Oryzias latipes: one gene and its partners. Each later gene encodes a partner of the first gene's protein in a complex. Links are inferred from orthologs where the notes say so. Each region holds a gene or a part of one and is shown in the gene's direction. Other genes may lie near its edges. The genes, in order: e2f1, ccnf and ccna2.

Evidence for each region.
Region 2: the proteins of e2f1 (region 1) and ccnf are in contact, whole or in part, in a cryo-EM structure (PDB 9CB3), measured with the Homo sapiens proteins. The link is inferred for Oryzias latipes from reciprocal best matches to the Homo sapiens genes E2F1 and CCNF. Residues at the interface, in NP_005216.1 of Homo sapiens: Gly84, Arg85, Pro87, Val88, Lys89, Arg90, Arg91, Leu92, Asp93, Leu94, Glu95, Thr96; in NP_001752.2 of Homo sapiens: Met309, Ile312, Leu313, Asp315, Trp316, Glu319, Val320, Met323, Arg349, Leu352, Gln353, Trp379, Leu380, Thr381, Asp382, Thr384, Asp504, Tyr505, Val508, Leu510, Thr511.
Region 3: the proteins of e2f1 (region 1) and ccna2 are in contact, whole or in part, in a crystal structure (PDB 1H24), measured with the Homo sapiens proteins. The link is inferred for Oryzias latipes from reciprocal best matches to the Homo sapiens genes E2F1 and CCNA2. Residues at the interface, in NP_005216.1 of Homo sapiens: Val88, Lys89, Arg90, Arg91, Leu92, Asp93, Leu94, Glu95; in NP_001228.2 of Homo sapiens: Met210, Ile213, Leu214, Trp217, Glu220, Val221, Glu224, Arg250, Gln254, Tyr280, Ile281, Thr282, Asp283, Thr285.

Annotation. Positions count from the first base shown.
Region 1 is NC_019865.2:1,999,503-2,004,539, reverse strand, and holds the start of e2f1 (transcription factor E2F1), read left to right. Parts: upstream 1-1,503; 5' UTR 1,504-2,412; intron 2,413-2,502; 5' UTR 2,503-2,708; coding exon 2,709-2,960; intron 2,961-3,048; coding exon 3,049-3,148; intron 3,149-4,267; coding exon 4,268-4,487; intron 4,488-5,037. Other genes in the region: znf341 (zinc finger protein 341), read right to left, coding at 394-504, 962-992. UniProt on the Homo sapiens protein: Transcription activator that binds DNA cooperatively with DP proteins through the E2 recognition site, 5'-TTTC[CG]CGC-3' found in the promoter region of a number of genes whose products are involved in cell cycle regulation or in DNA replication.
Region 2 is NC_019866.2:11,076,986-11,082,167, reverse strand, and holds the start of ccnf (cyclin-F), read left to right. Parts: upstream 1-1,751; 5' UTR 1,752-2,143; coding exon 2,144-2,156; intron 2,157-3,185; coding exon 3,186-3,340; intron 3,341-3,503; coding exon 3,504-3,610; intron 3,611-3,707; coding exon 3,708-3,775; intron 3,776-4,221; coding exon 4,222-4,418; intron 4,419-4,814; coding exon 4,815-4,868; intron 4,869-5,158; coding exon 5,159-5,182. UniProt on the Homo sapiens protein: Substrate recognition component of a SCF (SKP1-CUL1-F-box protein) E3 ubiquitin-protein ligase complex which mediates the ubiquitination and subsequent proteasomal degradation of target proteins.
Region 3 is NC_019868.2:207,252-212,373, forward strand, and holds ccna2 (cyclin-A2), read left to right. Parts: upstream 1-1,765; 5' UTR 1,766-2,133; coding exon 2,134-2,334; intron 2,335-2,641; coding exon 2,642-2,894; intron 2,895-2,991; coding exon 2,992-3,098; intron 3,099-3,168; coding exon 3,169-3,392; intron 3,393-3,467; coding exon 3,468-3,672; intron 3,673-3,750; coding exon 3,751-3,864; intron 3,865-4,039; coding exon 4,040-4,173; intron 4,174-4,666; coding exon 4,667-4,718; 3' UTR 4,719-5,113; downstream 5,114-5,122. Other genes in the region: bbs7 (Bardet-Biedl syndrome 7 protein), read left to right, coding at 1-19, 106-209, 640-763, 849-982. UniProt on the Homo sapiens protein: Cyclin which controls both the G1/S and the G2/M transition phases of the cell cycle. Functions through the formation of specific serine/threonine protein kinase holoenzyme complexes with the cyclin-dependent protein kinases CDK1 or CDK2.

The DNA of each region.
Region 1 (5,037 bases):
TACATGGCTTTTGAGAGGAAGAAGGTTTAAGTTCCACTCCAATCATCCCCTGATCTCTTTTCGTTTTTAGCCAAAAATACATTGGAAAAAAACTGTTTGTTTTCTAGAACATAGATTCTGCAGAGCGCCAGGAGCTGTGGGCGTGACTGTTGGCACAGAGCAACCCCCTTGTTGCTGAGAGCTCTTTGTTTACACACTAGATAAAAGCCCCTCAACCTATTTGTCTGCAAGTGGATGCATCAGAATGGGGCGGAGCAGGGAGCCTGTGGCCCCGCCCGGCGGATTTTCTACGTCACAAATGCGATCTTTTACGAATACTCGGAAATGCAACTTTGAGCTTAGTTGTCTTAATCTGTAGCAGTCCTGTGGAGCTCGGTGCAGAATGCTCCTTACCCATAGACTGGATGGTGGATCCTGCAGACACATTCTGGTTGTTGGGGTCATTGACTCCCCCCTGGCCATCCAGCAGGGACTGGACTGCTAGAACGGTCTGGTTGTCCATGCCTGAGGGGATGGAGGGAAACAGGGATTTAACATCAGTAACAGCTTTTCTTTTTACAACATGTTAGAAGAAGATCTGCTTCTCCATGAAAGTGACAGAAACAATAACGCGAGGAGTGCATGTTCACATATTAATGAATAGCTTTTATTGTCACATGTACAGCTTTTACACTGACATACGAGATGAGTTATTATATTACAGAAATAATTAATATTACATTTACAAAAAAAGCCGTTTATAGCAGTACAGTCTTAATCTTTAAAATATAATCAGGTTGTTTACAATCATCATCATCAGATCAGGCAGAACCCTTCAGTTCAGGGTGCTTACAGCCTACATAATACCCGTTTAAAGGGTGATTTAGTGTTCAAACAAGTCTCCAGTTAATTTACATGATGTGGTTTTCTTTGGCATATAACATATTTAATAATTGCGCGGTAAATAAGACTATATTTGTACCTTCCAGCGCCTCGAATATTGTCTGCGCCATCTTACAGCGCTCCTGTTTACCATCGGTGATCGATTGGTAGGGTCTGTTACTTTAGGTGCAGACCCCCCAATGAAATGCTTACATTAATATTTGCAAATAGAAAAAAACTTATCACATTTGGTTCAGACCCCCAGAAAACTCTAGTTTAGAAAGTTCCTAAGCAATCAGATTTAACTTTATTTTTTGTTAATCTGATTGCTTAAACGGAGAGGGAGCGCTAGGGACTACATTGAAAAAACGTAACTTTTTTAAGCTGGGACGCAAAGACTGTTACATCATATATTTAATATGGTAAAGGAGTTTATCTTTTAGTTTTGGGAAACCTTACATGAAACTGACACTACGTGTTTTACTATTTTGTTTAAAATTTCCTAAACAAAGCAGTTAAGAAGCCTTTTGTCCGTGGAACGTGAATGCACCTCCCAATCAGCAAATCTGTGCTCTGGAGAGTCACAGACGGCCATCTCCGCCAATCAGAGAACACCAACCTGGTCACATGGAAGGCCAGTTTTCCCCATGCTCTGTAACGTGACAGACGGCCATTTCCACCAATCGGAAGACACCAATCGCGTCACGCGCAAAACGAATCCCACTGGCCAATCCCAGCGGTCGCTTTTCCCCACGTGCCAGTTTCGCGGCAAAAAGGATTTCGCGCGAAAACCGTCCAGCCTTGTTTAGATATAGATCAGCTGGGACAACAACAATGACGGCTGCTAATGGGGTCGGCGCGGCTCGTTTACAGATGGACCCGATCTTCGGCGAGCAGACGAAGGAGCATCGGCACATTTTTTAACGTTTGAGCGAGTATTTCCTCCGTTTTGTCTGCATCTCCCGCGTTTCTCCGAGTGCTTCCTGCGTGCCCCAACAGTACGAGGGGGACCGAAGAACTGCAGCTAATCCCTGAAGCTAGCATGCTAAAGTTCCCCGTATTTCCGCGCTAAACTCTCTGTCGTCGCCGTCGCCCGGACGGATGGTTGCTTTCTTTTGGGAACTATTTTCTCAAAGATGGTGTGGATCTGCGATCATGATGCCTCCGCCGAGTGAATGTGTATTTTTTTTATTGCTTAGATAGCCCAGTTCTGTGAGCGTCTATAAAGTTTTCCGAACCCGTTAATGAAGCCATATCGTAGGGAAAAGGAGATAAACTTTTAGGTAGTGGTGGTAAATGTAGTCCTCTGCTGTTGTTCGTGTTTATTAGCAAAGTTGTTGTAGTCTTTTCTTGTGGTAAGCTAGTTCGTTAGCTTGGTAGCTCTGTGTTTGAGGACGGAGTGGCGAGGCCTCTGACAGGAAAACGAAAGACTAGCAGGCTAGCTCGCTCATGATCTCAATTTACGGCGGGTTTCTTCTTCTACTTCGTCTTTTGACCTTCTTTTATTTCCGCTGAAAACGGCGCGCGAGCCGAGCAGCGCGTGAGCCTAAAGTAGGATGCGCTCAGCGGGTCGTTTCCTGTTTGGGCTCCACGTCTCGCCTTGACGTTTGAACCTTCGACTCCTCTGTGGTTGATCTGCAGATTTCAGGCTCGCTGTAGGTCAACCTTCAGCAGGAGGAGGAGGAGGAGGAGGAGAGGTTAATGGATCAGCATTTTCTCCTCAAGTCCTCCTAACATGTTTGGGGTCACCTGGTGCTGAGCCTGTTTTGATACCCCAGTTGGTGCCCCCACCCTCCCTGGCATTCCCCCAGTCTGCTGCAGGAGCCCTTTGGGCGGCAGGCAGTGCCATGTCAGAGACTCTGATAACGGGTCAGACATCCGAGGATCTGCTGAAGGACTTTGAGACTCTGCTGAACTCCGGGAGCATCGATCTGAGCCAGGACCACCAGATCGTCATCATCACCAGCCCCAGCAATGAGGGACTCCACCCGCTGGCCGCCCCCAGCAGCACGGGGGAAATCCTGCTATTCGCCACGCCGCAGAGCCACGCCGACGCGGGGGGCCAGGACAGGAGGAGGCCGGCTCTGGGAAGACCTCCGGTGAGGGCGTGGCTTCAAGGCGGCCGCCGCCGCCACATCATCACACGCCGGGGTTCACATAATCGATTCCTCTTCATTTGATGATTAGGTGAAGAGGAAGCTGGACCTGGATAGCGACCACCAGTATGTCAGCACCACCCGATCCTCCGCCAGCCAAGCACCTCCTTCTACTCCTGCTCCTCCCAGAGGTACGCCGCACGCTCAGGAGCAGGAGCGCCGACTCGGCATCCTTTCACGGCGCTGAAGCTGGCGTCCGGTTAGCGGGGGCACTAAAGGAACATTCCACTGCATTTTTCACCCTAAGACCACCTTAGACCAGGTCCTTTTCAGAAACCACAGGACCTGGGCTGCTCAAACCTGGATTAAAATTAGGATTTAGATAGTAAAGAATTCATTAAACACAGCTTCTGATTTATGAACATTGAAATGGGATGATTTTATGTAGTTGATCAATTTAAAATGATCTATTTTTAGTCTGCCGTCGTTTGGTGAGCTGCATTGCAGGCAGACGACACGAATTCACAAGAGGGGAGGCAACAGAATCCCAAACAACAGAGCGCTGCGAGCAGGAAAGCCACAAAAACTTTAAAATGATTAAATAAAAATGAGTCCAGGTCCAGCGGTTTTTCAAAAGGACCGGGTCTTAGGAGGACCCGGTGCGTAAAATACTATAAAATCCTCCTATTTCACATTTTCATGAGTCAGAAACTGTGTTTAATGAATTCTTTACTATCTAAATCCTAATTTAATGCAGGATAGAGCAGTCCAGGTCCTGTGTTTTTGAACAGGACCACCAATCATTTTACATCTTTTGGATTGCGTAACGCTCAGACTGACTCATGACATCATGGCGTCCACATGCTGCGTGAAGCGTTTCCGTCCGCAGACGTTTGGGGCCGTTGGGATGAGAAGTTGAAGGAGAATTTCTGCTGAAGGCTGAGCCTCAGTTCCTTTTGTTTTTTTATCACTGAAATCCACATTTGACCGTTCAGTTCTAAGATGTTTCCTTCAGCAGAATCTTCATCGGTGGATTTCTATTTTTAAACCACCAAAAGACCCGCCGTGGCTCCGAAATCCAGGTCCCGTGGCCACGTCAGAGAGGGCGGGGCTTGGAGTTTCTTTAAAGGCTGGTTATAAATATTACCTTAAAGAAAATAAAAGTTTCGATGGCGTGGTCCAAACGAGGCCTGCCTGTGCCGCTGGAACGTCTTCACAGCTGGAGTCGGAGGATCACCTGTTTTCCACCTGGATGTGTGTTTTGTTTGTGGAGGAGGTTTAAGGCGGCGTGTTTTTCACTGCTTTTCCAGTTCCTCGAAGCACGGCGGAGAAGTCGAGGTACGACACCTCCCTGAACCTGACCACCAAGCGCTTCCTCAACCTGCTGTCCCAGTCGGCCGATGGCGTGGTGGATCTGAACTGGGCCTCGCAGGTCCTGGACGTCCAGAAGAGGCGCATCTACGACATAACCAACGTCCTGGAGGGAATCCAGCTCATCTCCAAGAAGTCCAAGAACCACATCCAGTGGCTGTGAGTTGATGGTCATGGGGGAGGTGACGAGCACGGAAACAGGAAATGCTACCGGAACCGCAGCTGGATGATGGACCTCTATCCAGCCGTTCTGTTGGGGAACATTATTTTTGAAGGAACATTTGGTTAGACGTTGAAACCTCTCAGGAGTTGAATTAAGTTAAGGATCATTGAAGAAAAGGAGCTTTGGGGTTTTCTCCTCCCCTGGCAGAACCTCATGCTGTCATATTCTGCTGGTTCCGGATGGGTTAATGCAAAACAAGTTGTTTTTTTTCTAACTTAGCAACCAGCAACTTTGTGTGGTTCCCCCGATCAGCAATCAATGAAACGGATCCCTGATCAGTTTTGCTGAAACTATTCACTTTAACATTATGGAGTAATATTTATGCCGCCATGTTTCACACAAAACTGTCTAAGTTGCAAATGAAAATGTTAAATATTTGCTGTAAAAAAAATGTTGCCTTCAAATTATTTTGCTTTCAAAATTTTAGTTTTTACCTAAAGGAAAAAAAAAGATTTACATTTGCAAAACGCTAAACTGAAACGTATG
Region 2 (5,182 bases), on another chromosome or scaffold:
CTGAAACTGCACAAGGCTGACCAGACATTCAAATGCAATTAGATGTTAAATTTTATTAAAATGAGTCTTTCTGTAGTTATAGTAATGCAAACAAATGTGGGGAAAAGCAAGTGAATGGAATGGTATCTGAACATGAAAAAACACAACTTCAAATTATGCATCAGTCATTTCAATTTCCAATATGCTGTTTATTTTGTCCTTAGTCTATTCGTTTTAGGAGAACAAAACCATAAAGAAATAAAAAGTCTAATTTCCAGATGTGCTACGACATGTTTTTTTGGAACAATTTTACAACTGGATGCTTTTGATGGAGAAAATCAAAATGTCATTTTTAAGACCCCATTATGCTGCCTATTTGTTATCATTTACTTTGTGGGGTTTTTTTTACCTGAAAGTGGCTGCGATGGGTTGGAGTTTCTATGGAAACAGTGCATCCAGTTGAAGATGTCACAGCCCTTGCCCTGACTGAGGTCACTCAAGATAATTTGATTTTGCTGCATCTCCAGTGTTAAATAGAGCAAAGAATATTTCCCATAGTGAGTTAAGAGGAAATACACTTTCTTTATTGTGCAAGTCAAGATAAAAATGGGAAATAAATAATATTGCCGTGGAACCTTTTTTGACACTTCCAAAAGCCTTTGCCCTCTTAAATGTAATTACTGAGTAGTAGCTTTGTTTGTAGCGATGAGATTAGGTGAACAGGTGATGAACCGATCAATAGAAGGCTTGAAAGCAACAAAGGACTGACTGTGCACTCTGGTCCTTTATAACCTCCTTCCAAAAACTAGCAATCAAGAGGACACTATTCAGCTAACAGAGAAGTTTATTTATCGTCAATAGAGACGCAACAAAAAGGTCTTAATCATGTAGTTTTCTCCGAGGCAGCTGCAATAGAGGCCAAACCAATCTGTTGCTTTCATTCATTCATTTGTGTTGTCGGTCACATGGTTACTGAGATGTGAAGTGATGTGTTTTTGTGTGGGTTGGAGGGGGGGGACTCGTTTTTGTTATCTCGTTAGGACTTTTGCTGGTATAAACAGAAACCTTGTCAGGGTTAGAAACCCTTTTGGGTATGAAAGATTGGTCCAAATGAGGCAGGATGTAATTGCTGGATTCCTGGGTATGGGGGCAAAGGTGTACATGGAGGTTAAACTATGGTAAACTAGAACCTTAGGGGAGGAGGGGCAAAATCCAATAAAGCCAGGATATTATATAAAGATTTGTGTAAATCCATGTTTTGCTCTCAAAACTGCAGAAAAATAATATATCCTTACATTTTTTTCAAGAACTGCTAATTATATCAGGAAATTTAAATTTGCATTTAGAGTAAAGAGAAAACAACAACGCTTGTAAATTTAAATCAAAAGTTAAGAAGTTAAAGGTTTGCACAATACCAAAACATAAAAATAAATAAATAAAACTAACAAAGAAAAATGTACATTTGTTGTTTTTTATCTTATTTACTTAACAGTGAGCTTTTGGTTCAAACTTATTCTCCACAGTTTGAGTACCAATAACGTAGTTGGAGCTGTTTTTTTTTTTTTTAAGTTCTTCTATTATACCACTGTGGGGAGGGTTAATTTGTAGCTGTCCCTTTAAAAGCGGTACCTTTAAATTGTCTATTTTATGTGACTACATATCCCATGGTTCACTTCAAAATGGTCGCTCTGTGGACAGCTTCATATTCAGGTCATCCAATTATTTGTGCTTTTGGGCGAGCGCGTACTTCGAAAAGGCATTACGTTATCCAATAGAATTCTCTACTTTTCCAGTTTATACCGTATGGCCAACCACAGCCTTCGCTCTGCGGGATGACCAATCGGAAAGTCTTGATGCAACGGATGGGCGTCACCACTTTTCACCAATCAGATTAAACAATGAGTTTAAACCATGGGCGCGGGCGGTCCTAGACCGCTTTCGGGGCGGGGCCAAATGTGGACACGCTTGGATTTGAATTCAGGCAGGAGCTAACAATTTATAGGATGTTAGCTGGTGATAGAAAGACAGCAGATATCGTATCATTCTTAATTTAGTTTTCTGACAAAAGCAGCAAATAATTTTGCTTGTTTTAGGTGGTGTCGTCACTCATTATACGCACTTGTTCCGTGTTGTATCTCCATACATCGGTCTTGAGCCACTTGCAATGAAAGCGGGCGGTAAGTAGATTTTAAAAACTTTCTTCCTACTAATATTTATATCTTCCGTGAAACAATAGTTAAATATTTTGCCTTTTATGAATGTAAATATATAGTCTGTCTTTATTTGTAAGTATTCAGAGAGTGCAGTGAAATTTAGCAACTAAGTAAGCGATGTACTAACAAAACTTGTTCTATTTAAGTTAATACAAACCTAAAATCAAAAATAAAGTCCATAACCTTTAAATTAATCTAGCTTGTTTGTTGTAGTAGTATTTAAATATATATAACTATAAACTAGATTTAAAAATAAAGAACTCAAGCTTCAATCGGAATACGGGAGGGAAATTTGGGCGCTCATCTGATTCGATTTCTTCAACTCAGAAACTTACTTCAAACTATTTTTCTGCGATTATTCAGGTGCAATGTATATTTAACACAACATTTTTTTAAATGAATCCTTATAAAATGGTTGGTGTTTGTTTAAATCTTTATCATATTTATTCAAATATGCAGAGAAGGCCACACGAGGGTGTCAAACGTTTGTCATCTTCATGATGGAGGGAGTTGAGAATTTACTGTCATTTATCTTGAAGGGTCTTCATATTTTCAACTTTTTATCCTTAATTTTCATCTATTTACAAAAATATGACCAAAATAGTGTTTAACTGTATTTTATGAAACTTTATGCTAAGTGAAAAAGTTATTGCTGTAGAGACGAGGCTTGCTGTAGAATCTTATTTCTTTCTTTTTTACATTTTTTTTTAAAATAGGATTTGATTATTCTTGATTATTTTTTTATTTTATTTATGACCATCTTGACCAAATAACACAAGAGGAGGCAACTGCCTCTAAAATGCCTTTATAATGATGTGCAAATATTGATTTTCGCACAGATGTGAGAATGAGTTTTTCGCATTACCCTGTGAAGTGCTTTTGTACACTTGAATGAAATTCTGTACATTTCTGCGTGCATTAAAGATGCTGCTCTAGAGATGCATCCACAAATCCATGTATTGATGACTTTTTCCTCCCTTCCTCTGTCTACAGTTGTCCACTGCCGTTGTTCAAAATGTTACTCGGTTCCAGTGCGGAAGCGGGTTCGTAAACGCTCGTCGTCCCTAACGCTGCTGTCTCTGCCTGAGGAGATTCTTCTCTGTGTGCTTCAGTGTCTGTCTGCAGAAGACCTCCTCTCTGTTAGAGCAGTAAGTAATGATGTATGCATTTGAATTGTGCAGTTTGTTCTTTAACATATGTGCTGCATTTTGTCAAATCTCAAGTGACTGTTCTTTGCGCATCTTGTGACTAAAAACTATAAAGTTTCTTTTTGTTCCTGCTTTTGTTAATCTTATTTTGTTTTGGTTGTAGGTTCATTCCCAGCTGCGGGATATTGTAGACAACCACTCCAGTGTGTGGGCCAGGGTCAGTTTCAGAGACCGATGGCCATCCCCCAACACCTTATGGCTATTTGAAAAGTATGGTTCCCTCTTACAAAAAAAGAAAGAAATTCACTGTTCTGACTGCTTGTCATTTATCGAGTTTTTAACTGCAATTTTTTTTTTCTCAATCTAGAGCTGCAGAAAAAGGGAATTTCGAGGCTGCTGTGAAACTTGGGATTGCTTATTTATACAATGAAGGGCGTAAGTGCACTAAAGGCTACATTTCCTGAGCAGTATGTATTTTAATCAAAGACAAAATGCTCTCGTTCTCAAGAGCAATAACACAACATAACATCAAAAACACCTAAAGACAGCTTTACACTATCAAGGGGTCTTCAATCGCATCCTCAAGGCATCATTATACATTGCTTGCAGCCTCTGCATCCTCAACAACTTTTAATTACCCACAAGTGGGCAGTATATGAAGTATGCATTAGGAGAAAAAAATATAAAACTTGCCTTTGTGTGCGTCTTCCAGCACTATCTACCTCAGAACGGTATATTTAAGATGCTCGACTGGCGTCTAACAGGAATATTTCAAAAACACATGGTTAAAAAAAGTCAGAAATTTTTTTTTTATAGCTTAAGACACTTATGAGTTTGTCTTGATATGAACCTTTTCTACTGTCTTCCCTTTTGTTCTTCAGCGTTGCTGAGTGATGAAGGGCGAGCGGACGTCTGCGGTCAAAAGGCCTCCCACTTCTTTAGCCTGGCGGAAAGCGTGCGCTCCCCCAAAGCCGACCCATTCACTTGGGTTTTCATCCGTCCGCCGTGGTCACCCACCGGCAGCTGCTGCAAGGCCGTGGTGTTCGATCACCTCAAGGCCGAGTGCGATACTAACATGGTAGGTGCTGCTGCTGCTGTTGTTGCTGCTGCTGTGGCTCCATCGAGTCCATCCTGAGGAGCCCTGTATCTGTGTTTCTTTAATCTTTAGCTTTGTCTTCTATATTTGACAGACAACAATATGCTTAGAAAAAATCAGTCTAAGGTCAGTGGAGGGTAGAATCTGGGTTTTAGGTGCTTATTATCAGCAGATTACATTTTAGCAGAAAAATGATGGCCTTGATGGTCTATTTTCTGCTCCTGGAAAACACTGACACTAGTTCCTGCTGAAACTATTACTAGCATATCGATTTTAATGCGTTTACACACACCAAAGTACTTTTATCGATCTATTTTTGGTGGAGATTTTTCATTCTTTCCATGTGTTCCATTATTGATTCTTGTGCTTCCTCTGCAGGAGAAGAAGGGTCCCTTGTTGCACTGTTTGGCCAGAGTTCTGCTGCTGTTTGAGGTGAGTAAAAAAGCTGGGTTAAATCTGGTTGTTTAGGGCGTTGTTGGTTCAGTTTCTGTCTGCATGTCATGAATATGTGTGCTGTTTGTCATGGGGGACTGTGTTGGGTTAGTTGTTAGGAGCCCACACAGATAAAATCATTGTTTTTGTCTGTTCTATGTAACTGATTCTTATTCACAGAATCACTGTTTGTCTGTGTTTACGAGCATGTTTTTCCCAATCAATTTTTAAGCACAATGTTTTAGGCGATTTTCATAACGTTTGAGGGATTTTCATCTTCTTTTTTTTAGGATGATGGGAGAAGATCAGAGGCC
Region 3 (5,122 bases), on another chromosome or scaffold:
AATCTCAACATTTCTTATGGTTGGTGCCTCACTTCTGCGTTCACATATGCTTTTGTTTGCATGTAAAGACAAGAAAAGAATTTCAAAGATGCATTTCTCTTTCAGATATCAATGATGACTCGGTGAGCCACACTCTCAGAATGATTCATCCAAAGTTGGAGTACCAGCTGCTGTTGGCTAAAAAGGTCCAGCTTGTTGATGCTCTGAGAGTAAGCAGGCTGTTGTGTTCATCTGCACACATGAAGGAAAGATTCATTTCAGATGTCACTGACAGCCGAGAACTGCAGTACATCTGCAACTACAGTGGAGGAAAAACGGACTTGATCCTTTGCTGATTATGTAGGTTTGCCCACTTTGAAATGGAGTGACAGATGGAAGCTTCATTTAAACAGAGAGAGATGGAAAATAAGCGAGAAATGCACTTTAAAGAATGTATATAATTGTATTTGAAATAGGCAAAATAATATATCACAATGGGATATATAGCTCCTACAATGAAGGATGTCTTATTCCTATTTTCTGCTGAATTGAAATTAAAATCAGGAAACCAGCGACTCTTCTCTGTGAAGGTTTGATGTTTGGTGATGTACTTGAGGTTCTGTACATTCACTTCACCCACATCTCTTCTGGAATTGTCAGGAGCTTCAGGTTCATGAGGGAAACGCCAGTTTTCTCATACCAGAGTATCGAAGCATCTTGGATGAATCTGCCAGTCTTCTGGAGGAATACAAGAAGCAGCCAGCACATCTGGAGAGGCTTTATGGTACATTGCAGAAGCCACATTTATCTTAATTTCTGTTGGTCTCCTGACACTAATTTCTATTTCTTTATATTTGTTTTTCCTGCAGGAATGATCACTGACCTCTTCATTGATAAATTCAAGTTCAAAGGCCAGAATGTGAAAACAAAGGTGTCATCTCTGTTGGAGATTCTGGATAACTATGATCTAAACTCTCTGTTAGAATTTTTCAATGATGTTTGAGGTTGGATGAAATAAAATCCATTCACGTGTTCTGCTTCTATGTTGCATCTTTATGTAATGACAGTTATAGTTTGTGTCATGGTGCCATGCTGTTTTCAGAAGCTGTCGGTTTCACAATCCACAATTATTTCTGCTTAAATCCAGACTTTATAAATTCCTCCAGGTAGTTAATACAGACTCCTCTTTTTCATTTAATAACATATCACAGGTTCATAGACAGAAATCAAAGCTAAACGGACTGCATTTCTATATGAAAATCTCTGTGAGAAACTATTTAAAAATGAAATAGTCAAAAGATGTCATATGATTTTTTAAAGATCAGACCATATTAAACTATGTAGAAATGTTTTGTGGTGTTTTTCATTGCCTGTTCAATCCCCACAACACATGACTGAACACATCTTCAGTGACGTGCTTTGTTCTTCTTTATTTTTATTATAATGGCCATTAAACCCTTAAACAGAGAATCCAGTGTATTATATTTGGAGAACCTTTTCCTTTAAATGAATCCTTACTAACTGCAGGTCAAATAAGCTCATAAGCACTTGAAATCTGACAACACTTCAGAAAGTGTCGTTTTATTTTAGTTTTTGTAAATAAACACGCTCAGAAGAGTCTGCAGACGGTTAAAATCCACGGACGTCGTCCTGACTGCCGTCTGCTTGAGCAGGGACGTTTCCTTTCGTTTGCTGCTCTGTGCCGCTGCAGACAAACGGGTCCAACCGGTTTTGAATTTGCAATCAAGACATTTGTACCACTGCGGCTCCAGTAGTTTTGCAGCGTCACCATCTGTGCGCTTTGTGATTGGTTGGTTCAATCCTCGCGGGCTACTTGAACTGAGAGAAAGCAGAACCCTGTTCCTAAATGTCTGCTTGCTAGTGGTTCGTGTCCTGGTCGGTTGTGCTGTGGACCCGCGTGACTATGGAACCGTAGTGTGTTTGTGTCCCGCGCTTTGGAATCGCTCTACCGCTCACGCGCTCCTCTGCTGTGGCGCTGCTGTTCTGTTTTTTCGTTGCCATCTCAACTGTTTAGTTTTGAGTTTATTCGGCTCCACTTCAGGCTAGCACCCGACCCGATCCCCGCTACGAACGACGAGGGGTCCCGAAGAGTTCAAAGGTCAAAGCCAGCAGCGAGTGTTTGTTGCAGGAAACATGTCGGCGGCAAACCGAAGCGCGGCGAGTGAGCTCCAAAACCAGGAGAACATGCCGTCCAGCAGGCTGAGAGGCGCCATCAAAGCCCGGCCTGCAGCCAGCGAAAACCTTCCGCCCAAACAGGCTGCCAACAGAACCGTGCTGGGAGCTCTGCAGAACCACCAGCGGAACAAAACCCAAAGCCTCCGCGGCGCAAAGCAGGTAGCATGCCGCCGCACGGCCCGCTCCGCGGCGGGGCGCCAGCCGCCGGTTATCCGGCTGTGCTCCCGGTTCCTCACGGCTGTGGCTCGGTTCTAGCACCGTGATAACAGTCATTCGCCTTTAGCATCTGAACCTGTCTTAGATCTGCTTCTGGAGATGGTCTTTGTAGTTTCATGTTCAGTCTGTGCGCCATTTTAGCCTCACTCCTCCTAGTTTACCTTACAGACTGTTCTGTCTTCTGAAGCAGATCTGCTGCTGTTTGCCTTCAGAGCAGAAACTCACCTTTCTTGTGTTCTGTTGCCTCCAGGACTCTGCTCTACCCTCATCCTGTAAAGCTGACGATTATGGGAAAAGCGTCCTGGAAAAGCCGCCTGTCAAGCAGCCGGCCTTCCAGATCCACATGGATGAGCCTGATGGCGCCTGCACCAAGAAGACCGTGTCTGAGGCCCTCAGAGCCAGGGCCCCGGCCCCTCGCTCTCCTGTGGCCGTCCACAACGCCCTGACATGCCGACAGCCCCTGGCTGCCCTCGATGTCCCGTTGGTTGTGGAAGCCGGCTTTGGTGGGCTGCTGTAGAATCTTGGCTTGTTTAGTAATGACCGATGTTGGCTTTGGTGTCAAAGTGAGGTGTCATCATCTGTGCACTAAATGACTTTCAGATTCTCCCATGGACATGTCGTTGGTGGAGGTGGACGACAAACAAGTTAATGTCAACGAAGTCCCAGAATATGCAGCTGAAATTCATTTGTACCTGAGGGAGATGGAGGTGAGAGACTCTCCTTTTCCTTTCTTCCCCTCCTGTCATCTCTGCTACAACAATCGGGTATTTGTTTCAGGTGAAAACCAGACCGAAGGCCGGCTACATGAAGAAGCAGCCTGACATCACAAACAGCATGAGGGCCATCCTGGTGGACTGGTTGGTGGAGGTTGGAGAAGAGTACAAGCTCCACAATGAAACGCTGTATCTGGCCGTTAACTACATTGATCGCTTCCTCTCGTCGATGTCCGTCCTGAGGGGCAAACTCCAGCTTGTTGGGACTGCTGCCATGCTGCTGGCTGCGTATGTGCCAATTATCCTGCCCAGGAAAACACGACTAGTTTGGTTCGGAAAGGTTGAATGACTTTGTATGTGCAGGAAATTCGAAGAGATTTACCCTCCTGAGGTGGCAGAGTTCGTCTACATCACAGATGACACGTACACCAAGAAGCAGGTGTTGAGGATGGAGCATCTGGTGCTCAAAGTCCTGTCATTTGATCTGGCAGCACCAACGATAAACCAGTTTCTTACTCAGTACTTCTGCCACCACGGCGTCAACAAACAGGTGGAAAGCTTGGCAATGGTGAGTGTTCATGTGGTCCGTCGTGTTGGTCTACAGAAGCATATGGATGTGCTCTGACGGTGCTTGATCTGTCCTCAGTACCTCGGGGAGTTGAGTTTGATAGATTCAGACCCCTTCTTGAAGTACCTGCCATCGCAGACGGCGGCTGCAGCCTACATCCTCGCCAACCATGCAGTGACCGGCGGCTCTTGGGTGAGACTATTTCCCTCCAACTTAAGTTAGGAATGTGAAGGGTTATACGCTTGAATGTTTTGGTTTGAGATGCTTTATGGGGACGTGGGGCTGTTTGTCACATGCCAGGCTGAGGCTCATGGTGGTTGTGGAAATGTAAAATTGGTTCACTGACATTTTCTCTGCTCTGCTCCAGCCCAAATCCTTGGCAGAGATGACGGGCTACATGCTAGTAGACCTGATGCCGTGCATCGAAGACCTTCACAAGATGTTCCTGAGCGCCGCTCAGCACGCCCAGCAGTCTGTCCGCGAGAAGTACAAGGCCTCCAGGTGAGCTGCCGTACTTTGATTTTGTGTACTTCTATTTAAGGATCGTTGGAAAATATTTGTATTACTCTAAAAAAGTATCAGAGGAATCTGACAATTTCTGAGAGCTCAACTAGCAGTAAAAACTTCCCAACCACATTTTTTTTTTTTTACAATAAGTAACCTTAAATTCAATTAAATGATGGCTAAAAATGTGTCTTTAGTTGTACCGCGAGATTAGAGGTGTTAAGATGATCGGATAATTCTGAAAAGTTGCATGGAAACAAAAGGCGGCTCCAGACTCCAGCATCTTCACTGTTGATGGTAAACTCCTTGGCCTGTTACTCACTTCAGTGACACTGCAGGGAGGAACATGGTTTCAGAAATGTGTAGCATTTGTCCTCTAAGCTGAGAATGTTGTAAAAATCCTCAGTCGTGTAATCAGAATGCAGATTCCTGAAGGCTGGCAGTCCTCCAGGAGACGCTGTCGTACTCTGACGTTGTCTTTTCTCCACAGATACTCTGAAGTCTCCACGATCGCTGCTCCCTCCAAGCTGCTGCTGAAGTGACCTGCTTGTTGTTGATGTATTGTTAGTCTTTTTAATCATTTTTTGTAAATGACGTACCAGTTTTAGACGGCATGTTCTGCTCTTTTTGGAGTGGTGCTCCTTTTTTCTTTTTTCCTTAAAGAGGTTTTAATATTTTTATATTTCTAGTCTCAGCATTTATGCCATGTGCATCCAGTTGTGTAATCAATGGCTTTTAGTGTCGGTCTGTCCTCATTCAGTGCTGCTTTAATCTGCAAATGTTCAGCCTTTGTAGAAGCCGGGCAGTTTCCTTCATCTTAGACTGCCTGATGTGATGCAGATTAAAGGCTGACTCCATGATCTGTGTCCCGTTTCATCCACTGGCTTCCTGCACTGTAGACCATGGCTCTTATAAATAAACTTCTTTTTGAAGACTATCCGTTTGT